Linked DNA regions of Bombyx mori. The protein of the gene in region 2 interacts with the protein of the main gene of each other region in a pairwise test. Links are inferred from orthologs where the notes say so. Each region holds a gene or a part of one and is shown on either strand. Other genes may lie near its edges.

The links.
Region 1: the proteins of GTP-binding protein RAB2 (region 2) and TBC1 domain family member 16 interact in a two-hybrid assay, tested with the Drosophila melanogaster proteins (2 studies listed by BioGRID). The link is inferred for Bombyx mori from reciprocal best matches to the Drosophila melanogaster genes Rab2 and TBC1D16.

Annotation. Positions count from the first base shown.
Region 1 is NC_085123.1:4,178,352-4,182,515, forward strand, and holds the start of TBC1 domain family member 16, read right to left. Parts: upstream 2,870-4,164; 5' UTR 2,674-2,869; coding exon 1,793-2,673; intron 1-1,792.
Region 2 is NC_085125.1:6,240,482-6,244,852, forward strand, and holds the start of GTP-binding protein RAB2, read right to left. Parts: upstream 2,815-4,371; 5' UTR 2,648-2,814; coding exon 2,602-2,647; intron 23-2,601; coding exon 1-22. UniProt on the Drosophila melanogaster protein: May be involved in bidirectional endoplasmic reticulum (ER) to Golgi trafficking. Together with Rab7 involved in promoting fusion of autophagosomes and endosomes with lysosomes, probably through recruitment of the HOPS tethering complex.

The sequences.
Region 1 (4,164 bases), on a different chromosome or scaffold from region 2:
TGAAAACGTTTCATGAAATAAGTAAAAATACTTGTGACTTTAGTAAATTCACGTTTTGTGAATCACGTGTAGTTTAAGCTGCTCGCGCCTGTCCTCAGATCGAGTCCGTAGATAATGCGCGTCGGTATATATTAATAATTCAGTACAAAAATCTATAGCGCAACAAATCTTCGAATATAATTTCAATCCTATCATATTAGAAAACACCTAAACCTATCATCGTGGTCAGAGACGTAAACGCACCCTGTTTATTATATGTAGAAACTAACTTTTACCGGACACTATCCCATTTTTAATTTTTTTTAAAAAAATACTCCTTTTGATTAAGCTTTTTTAATTAAGCCTTTTAATTATAATTTTTATTAAAAAAAACTCCTTTTAATTAAGCTACAGATGATTTATTGTTCTATTCTATAAAAGGAAACTCTGAAGTTCTCTTCTCTTTGAATTGAATTTCGAAAAATCTTTACATATTTTCTAGTCATAAATAATGCATTTTATTGCTTTCCTGGGGTGGTTGAATTAGGCGTCGATAAATAAGCAATAACTTTGCATTTTATATGTATTTAAATAAACAAATATTTCGTATGTGTGTTTCGGCAAAATGGCACAAATGGAAATATTAGCTCGAATACGGAAGGTTCCACTATGTAAGCGTTTTTTTTTTTTAATAATTAATATTTGACGTTGAAAGGTGCCAGGTTTCAACAAAGCTATTTCAAAATTAAACATGATAAATAAATTACGATAGGTTTGTTTTTTAATTTTTAACCATGATACCACTGATCCACGAGCACATCACAACTCACAATTTTACGTAATCATGAATGCACTAACTCATCTCAAGTTAATTTCAATAAACTGAACAATAACACGCTTCGCTTGTGTCTTTTGTTGGTGTATTAATAAAGAATACTCTCTCTCTCTTTCAGTATCGGATTTTTATCGCGAGTTTTTGATGATTACAGTTTATTACTATTATAATTTAAATTTATTGATAAGCTTCTAGGTAGGTACTTCAGGGTTCGAATGGATAATTGTTTTGCGTTTCCTAACTGCGCAATTACCTATTTTAATATTAACTTCTATAACTCAAATTACCTATAAAATCACTAGCTATATACGTCACAGATTGTTATTTAGTTCGGACTCAACAAAATCGCATTATAAACTAAATTATTAGCCTACGTAGGCAGACGAGCCGCCGCTATTGCCGCCCCTGCCATTACCAGAGTTAATAACATAATACTTTTCAAACATGATCACTTATAAACGTTCATAACGTTACGTTAAAGACATGTAAGTTTCTGAAAAACTCAAAATATACCAGGTGCCAATTAACAAACTTCCGATTTGTCAAAGGTGATGCCGCCTCAGAAGTCAAAAGTGCGGTTAGTCCTTATTTAACTAAATTAAAAACATAATCGTTAAAGAAGTTAGCGGTTGTGGAATAGCTTACTATTTATATGATCACTATTTATTTTACTGGTGGTAGGACCTCTTGTGAGTCCGCGCGGGTAGGTACCACCACTCTGCCTATTTCTGCCGTGAAGCAGTAATGCGTTTCGGTTTGAAGGTCGGGGCAGCCGTTGTAACTATACTGAGACCTTAGAACTTATATCTCATGGTGGGTGGCGCATTTACGTTGTAGATGTCTATGGGCTCCAGTAACCACTTAACACCAGGTGGGCTGTGAGCTCGTCCACTCATCTAAACAATAAAAAATAAAAAAAAGATCACACGAACACTATACATTACGATTAATATTAGGTAAGCACACGACAATATTCACCTTCGACATTTCAACGGAGCTCGCCTCTGTGGGACCGGCGAGCTATGAACGCTGTCGGGAAACACCAAATTGTGTTTCAGCGCCAAGAACTCGGGGGTGCTCATCCAATTAGGATTACCTTCGTCACACGAGCTAAGCGATAGCGACCTAATATACCTGTCGCTCGACAGCGAATCAGGGGTCAGATCAACGTTTTCTATAGTCGGATTAGCGATTGTAATGTTCACAGAGGTCATAGACTGAGATCTCACGTGTTTATCATATATAAACACGTCGTTCTTCAATTCTTCCTTCTCGAAGCTGCTGAACACGTTGTCTTTTCCTGAATCAATTGATTTTACTGTTGGCTTAGAGCTGGAAGATAGCTCGTCTTGCGTCGTATCGTTCGGCGTGTACCTAGTGTCGGTAGACTTTAGGCTCTGTTTATCAGAATTAGAATTGAGGCTTGTCGTCTCCGACGAATCAGAGAATGCATTTTCAATGTCATTCTTTATCGATATGTTCGAATCGTTGTGCGATTGTGTGTAAGGTATTTGCCTCGGAGCGGTCGGTTTGTTGACAACACAGCCGAGCTCATCGCTAGGACTGGTTTCAACCGCAGACGGACATTTTCGAAGGGTAGAGTTCGGAATCCAATTCAAAAACAAAGTCGGACGTTTAGCGTTATTGTGCTGATCGGTAAACACTTTAGTCGTGATAGTCAAGTAGCCGGGGTGATGTATGATATCTAATTCGTGCCTCGCGATCGTTGGAGGATGGACGCAAACGTTATTCTTACAGAATAGTATTTCGTTGTCGACGTAATCAGGTGGGTCCTCGTCGTCGAAGTCGATGCCGAGAAAATAGCTCGAAGCTCGCCTAAGTAGATCAGGAAGGGGCATTGTTCACATTTCCTTAATGGAACACAGCGCAGTAGTGCGACGCGACGTTATCAATGGAGACGGCCTCATTGAAGCGCCGCTTCGCGAGTACTAAATGCTGCGCGCATGTAAACACCTACACAGCTGCGTTGATAACACACTATTGATCCGAATACCGAGCAACGAGCATGTTCTTAACTAACGTCACGACATTTATTATGACGCAGCTTCGTGAACAATTTGCATATATCTACGTTCCAAAATGAATAAACTTGATTAATTTAAAAAAGAAAAAAAAATCCGATGTATACAAAACTGGAACTTTTTAGGCTGGAACCCCTGGGATCATAATTATTTTTCTCTTGTATTTATAAGCTCAGCATGATCGTGGCGTGTATGAAGAATGGTCGATGTCCAATAGCGGACGGTTGTGACCTATTAAGGACCGCGGAGCCGGTACATAGAAGGTTCAGGACAGAAGTGTTTGTAGGTTCACCTGGTGGGCGAGCACGGACTCAGACAGGTCGGGTGAAATTTGCTAACAGCTGCCCGAGCGCCTCCCAAAGAGACACTACAGTTCAAGGGCACCTGTTTCGCGAATGCATCTCATACTGGATCGGAATCGGATAGGTCTGTGATGGCGCATTCTCCTCCCAGTGAGGGTCACGAAGCGATCTGAGGGGCTCGAGTTTGCGCGGCACGCTACCGTTACTCCAGCGCTATTGGAGGATGCGGCGACGTGGTATGGTCATCGTCGCCGGACGTACTGTGGGAAAGCAACCTGCTCGTTGGAATGTCACATTCGGACTCGCTAGACCTAGGGTACACGAGCGGCACCGCCCGGGTGACATGACGAGCTACCGTAGCCTGGCTTCGTTGGTAGGCGACGATTGCTTCAACGATCCGTCGGTCGAGACTCGCGACGAAGAGTGGCGTCGCGAGTCTGGTTGTAGTGTTGACCGCGGGAGCACCCGTATTCTGCCCAGACTCCGACCCCGGACGGAGATCGGACGTCGGATGAAAGATTGCAAAGGGAGTCGTTTAGTAGGTCTGTCAAAATATCATTGGGCCAGCGGTCAACTCCCAGCGTCTGCGGACCCTTAGGCATCGAAACTTTATGTATGAGGTTCAACCCTCTGTTGGAAAGAAAAAAAAGGGTTAAGTTTCAAACTCTTCGAAGAGTTCGATGAAATCGGGTACTAGGCCCCCTATGCCTGCTCCAAAAGCTAGCGTGTAGATACTTAATAGTTTGCTTTGAAACGTTAGTGAAACGGTTGGATAAAACAAACCTACGGAGCGCATAGGAGACATACCATGAACGCTTATGCCAACTTTAAGATATCATAAGACTGAAGAATAATTGCGTAGGTGCAACGATTCCACTACCCTGTAAACGATAGTGAATAAATCGATATTTCATATTAATATTCTAAAAATAGTACAAAAAGGGGCAAACAAAAGCTGCCATGATTAATGTAGCGACATCTGTATACCTTAAGAAGCAATACCAAA
Region 2 (4,371 bases):
AGTAAACATGATTTACCCACACCTGGGAAGGAAAATAAACGGCCATGGTAAAAAAACTAAAATAAATAATCTTTTTATGTTATGGCTATAGTTATTTATTTTGTAGTAAAGTATATCTTATATTTTGACAGTATATTAATTTGTATCATCAATCATTCAATTAACAAAAATTAGGGTCCTTATTTTTTGTGTTAAAATATTATTACATATTTTTAAAGAAATATATTATTTGTACAAATGTATTTTTAGGGTGATTGATGGTCTTTGTTCTCTTCATAATAAATTATCAGAGCTATATAAGTCTGTTATAAGAAGAATGTCAAAATTATTCAATATATTTTTCAATCAATTAGTCAATATATTTGATAAGAGCATTGTATGTTGATAGTACACACAAGTGCTATTAATATTAAAAACAAGCGAATGTATTCCAAATATAACTATACTGAGACCTTAGAACTTATGTCTCAAGGTGGGTGGCGGCATTTACGTTGTAGATGTATATGGGCTCCGGTAACCATTTAACACCAGGTGGGATGTGAGCTCGTCCACTCATCTGTGCAATAAAAAATAAAATGTTTTATTGAATCACCCCACCTTATGCTGGATGATAATCAGGGCCTGGTGTGACCTGAGTACCACTATTCACATAACCATATGAAAGAAAATCAAGTAATAAATAAATAAATTAAATATTGCATCAAATATAAAACTGATCTTTGGCAGAGATTAAGTGTTATTAGATAAAAATTTACACTGTCTTTAATATTAAAACTAGTGTTACACTTTCTTATTTGGTATAATTTGTGAGAAAAACATACAATTTGTGTTTAACATAGGTCAGTGCCCACAGAAATTACCTCACCTCAACTTCTTAACAAACATTGTAGATAAATTTTAGATTATATTTAAATTACATATTTTTTAACTAAATTATTTATTTGTAGTTAAAAAATTAATTCAACCTTTAAACGAAAAAACATAAAACTGAGTAGCTCTGGTAAGTACTGAACCTCAGGTGGGCTGTGAACATGTTTGCTCAACTATAACATTTTTTGAAATTACAATTTTCTTCAATTAAATCTCTAATTAAATGCAAAATATGAAAGTAAATATGCTCCACTTTCAATGTTTTCACTATTTCATTGTTCATGAGACTACTTACTACATTGAGTATATAAATATAGTGCATATAAATTTTTAAAATGTTACAAACTCATTCAGTTTTAATATTTATGATGACTGTTTATTGAACTCATTGATACATGTAACAAAACAATACAGAGTTTCGTGCTTATCTTTTTTATTCCTGTCTCTTTATGTATGTAAATGAACTTTGAGAAATAAACACCAAAGGACAAAATGAACGGTTTTATTTATTAATTTTTTATGTATCTTTAGCGAGTCATTTGTCCAGACAGTTGAGGAGGTATCTGAGTTAGTGTCACCATTATATATTTAGGTGGTATTGATAATTGACTTAATGTTTTAGGTATAATCAGATGGATGATAATTCTTCAATAGGGTAGGCATTTTATTGTTATATCTATATAATTAGCTTGTTATTCATTAGATCATTATTTAGTTAGGGTCACTAACTGTTAGGTAAGTTATTAACTACCATATTGAGGTAACCATGTTTGATTCTCAGTCAGTCTTTATTAAAGACATTGGTCTAAGTCTACTCTTTATTATCTTGTGCTATCTTTATTATCTCCAATACCCATAACATATGAGAAAATGTTAACTTGGACCTGTTGAAGGTGTAACATTTATGTTTTTTGGATTCTTGTATAAAAGGCAAAATTAAGTTCAAAATTAGGTAGTCTCACATCCGTCAGAGTGAAGTAGTAGGTCGAATTTACACTCCTATCCGAATTTATCATGCAGTCAGAGATAATATATATGATAATGTAAAATTATATAAAGTATAAATGTGAAATTTTGTACATATCTACGCCCCCTAATTTAAAACTATTTTGCATATATCTTAGAAGGCAGTGCTTTTTTATATACTATGATATGTTATTATACTATGTTTTTGGATTATTATATGATCACAAGCTTAATCTGATAAAAAATATGTTACCTAAGCTGAATTTAGTTTATTCATTAACTATTTATTGATTGAAAGGGAGCTTCCAAGTAGTTATGAATATATATTTTCTTCATATTACAAGTTAAAGTTCATTATTATTATATTATAGCAAAGATGTCAGCTAAAACAGCAAAATAAGATTTTTCTCAGAATTAAGATTGGCTGAAAACAAACAAAGGATGTCCTTGAAATAGCAATCAGACATTGTTTGTTGTTTACTATCATCTAAGAACTGTATCTTTGAATATTAGTGGTTTGCATTAATACGCATTTCAAAATATTCCTTTGAAGATGCGTAAAAGCGTAGGCGGAATTATCTGATAGCAATTACCCTGGTTCCAGCCTATTTACTAATAGCAATACTAAAGAAAACATGATTTATATTTTTTGTTACTGAGGTGTCTCAATGTCAACGTTTTTATATTGCTGTGTATCAAAGCTGCAAATAAACAAAGGTATACACAAAAATACGTCAAACAAATTTCAGGAAATATAATCAATACCTGTGTCCCCGATGATGATGTATTTAAAAAGATAGGCGTATGCCATTTTAACACAATGTTAGTAAACGGATTACAAAAGTAATTTAGTTCCTTCAATAAGTAGCAATACAAAACGAATTTTCAATTATTTCTAACAAAATTATACGCAATTTTAGAACATCTACAGCTGGTTGATTGAAACTTGAATCAATTTGTCATCAATTGTCATTACGAAAGAGGGTTGCCAAAAGTCTATGATCTATGAAAATTTCCGCAATGTTATTTCGAATTTAATTTTCATTGCCAAAAAACCGCTTATGTTTATTGTAATAAAATTAAATTTTCAATCTGAAATGACATGGCGCGTGAATACGACAAGTTTGAGTATGAGTATTAGTGGAATATGTTTATTACCTAATGAAGTAGGTATTGATATCCTAGTTTTTAACGAAGTCATCGTGGTCTAAAGATAAGACGCTTAGTGTATTCGTATCGAACGATGCGGATACCTGTCGCGGTATGCAGATACCAATTTTTCTGGTGAAATGCCTACTTTACAACGTTCACGAATAGCCCCAACGGTGCAGGAATAACATTGGATAATAAAATTCCGAAGCAGTAGAAGTGCGTGGGCTGCAAAAAAATCAAACTTGTAAATATTATAATTTGCATAATTCCTGGTAGTAAGGCGTTTTATGACTTTGTATGGGTACAATCAAGGAATACTGCCACCCTGTATATTTCTGCAGCGAAGCAGGAATACATTCTGGTTACAAGAGTGGGGCAGCCTTTGTACTATTTAACTAAGATTTAGAACTCACGTAAGAAAGTGGGTACCGCCAGGTATTTACTATGTAGATATGGGATCCGGGGATAGCTCGTACACCGATTTATGCAAAAAAAAAACTAAACTTACATTTTTAAATTATTTTTGTCAGATGCCATTCAGTTCTGAAATGAATTTCTTTCCGCAGAGTTTCCTGTGCTGTGAAATGAACTCATACAAGGCTTGTAGCAGTGGGTAGTGGTGCACCTTTGGCTGTGGATCTGGCATTGCCAGTAATCACTAGTGTGAACAGCCATCATTGGGTAGATTGTAAGCTCATCTGCTTTTAATCAAATAATAAAATATCCAAATCCCTATAAGTTGCTGTAAAAAATTCAGAAGCTGAATTGAACCATCGTCGCAGGGTAGACTGGTGGTGTTTATTGCAGTTTATCCACTAAGGCCCAGAGTAGCGTAACCCTAATTTGTGATTGGGGACAATATTGGATTGGAGAGCGACAATATCCGCCGATTGGTTGTCTCATTTAAAGTTCAGCGACCACGTTACAGTATCATAGTTAAATAACTAGAGCTTCTAAATATTAGGGGTTAAAGTATGAGATTTCCGATTTGTACTGAATTGAAATTCATTTTTTTTTTCATTTAACATTTTTATTTAATAAAAATATCTACCATTATTATCTATACATTGTTGCCATCTCATAGGAAGGTCATGGTAGTCCGTTGGAGCAAGGTCTAACAAATATGGAGGGTGACAAATGGTTTCTAATTTCAGTTCCTGTAGAGTTAAAATGATTTCTCGTGCTGTATGAGGTCTCGCGTTATCATGGAGCAATAATGGTGAAGATCGATTCATGAGTCGGGGCTGTTCCACTGCAATTTTTGCAGAAAATCATTCATATTTTCACAGTTCACCTCGACCACAGCTCGACCAAGCTAAGTTTGCACCTCGCATCGATTACCTCACACTTCCACTTAGGTATGGTCTGAAAAAGAGATTCGCT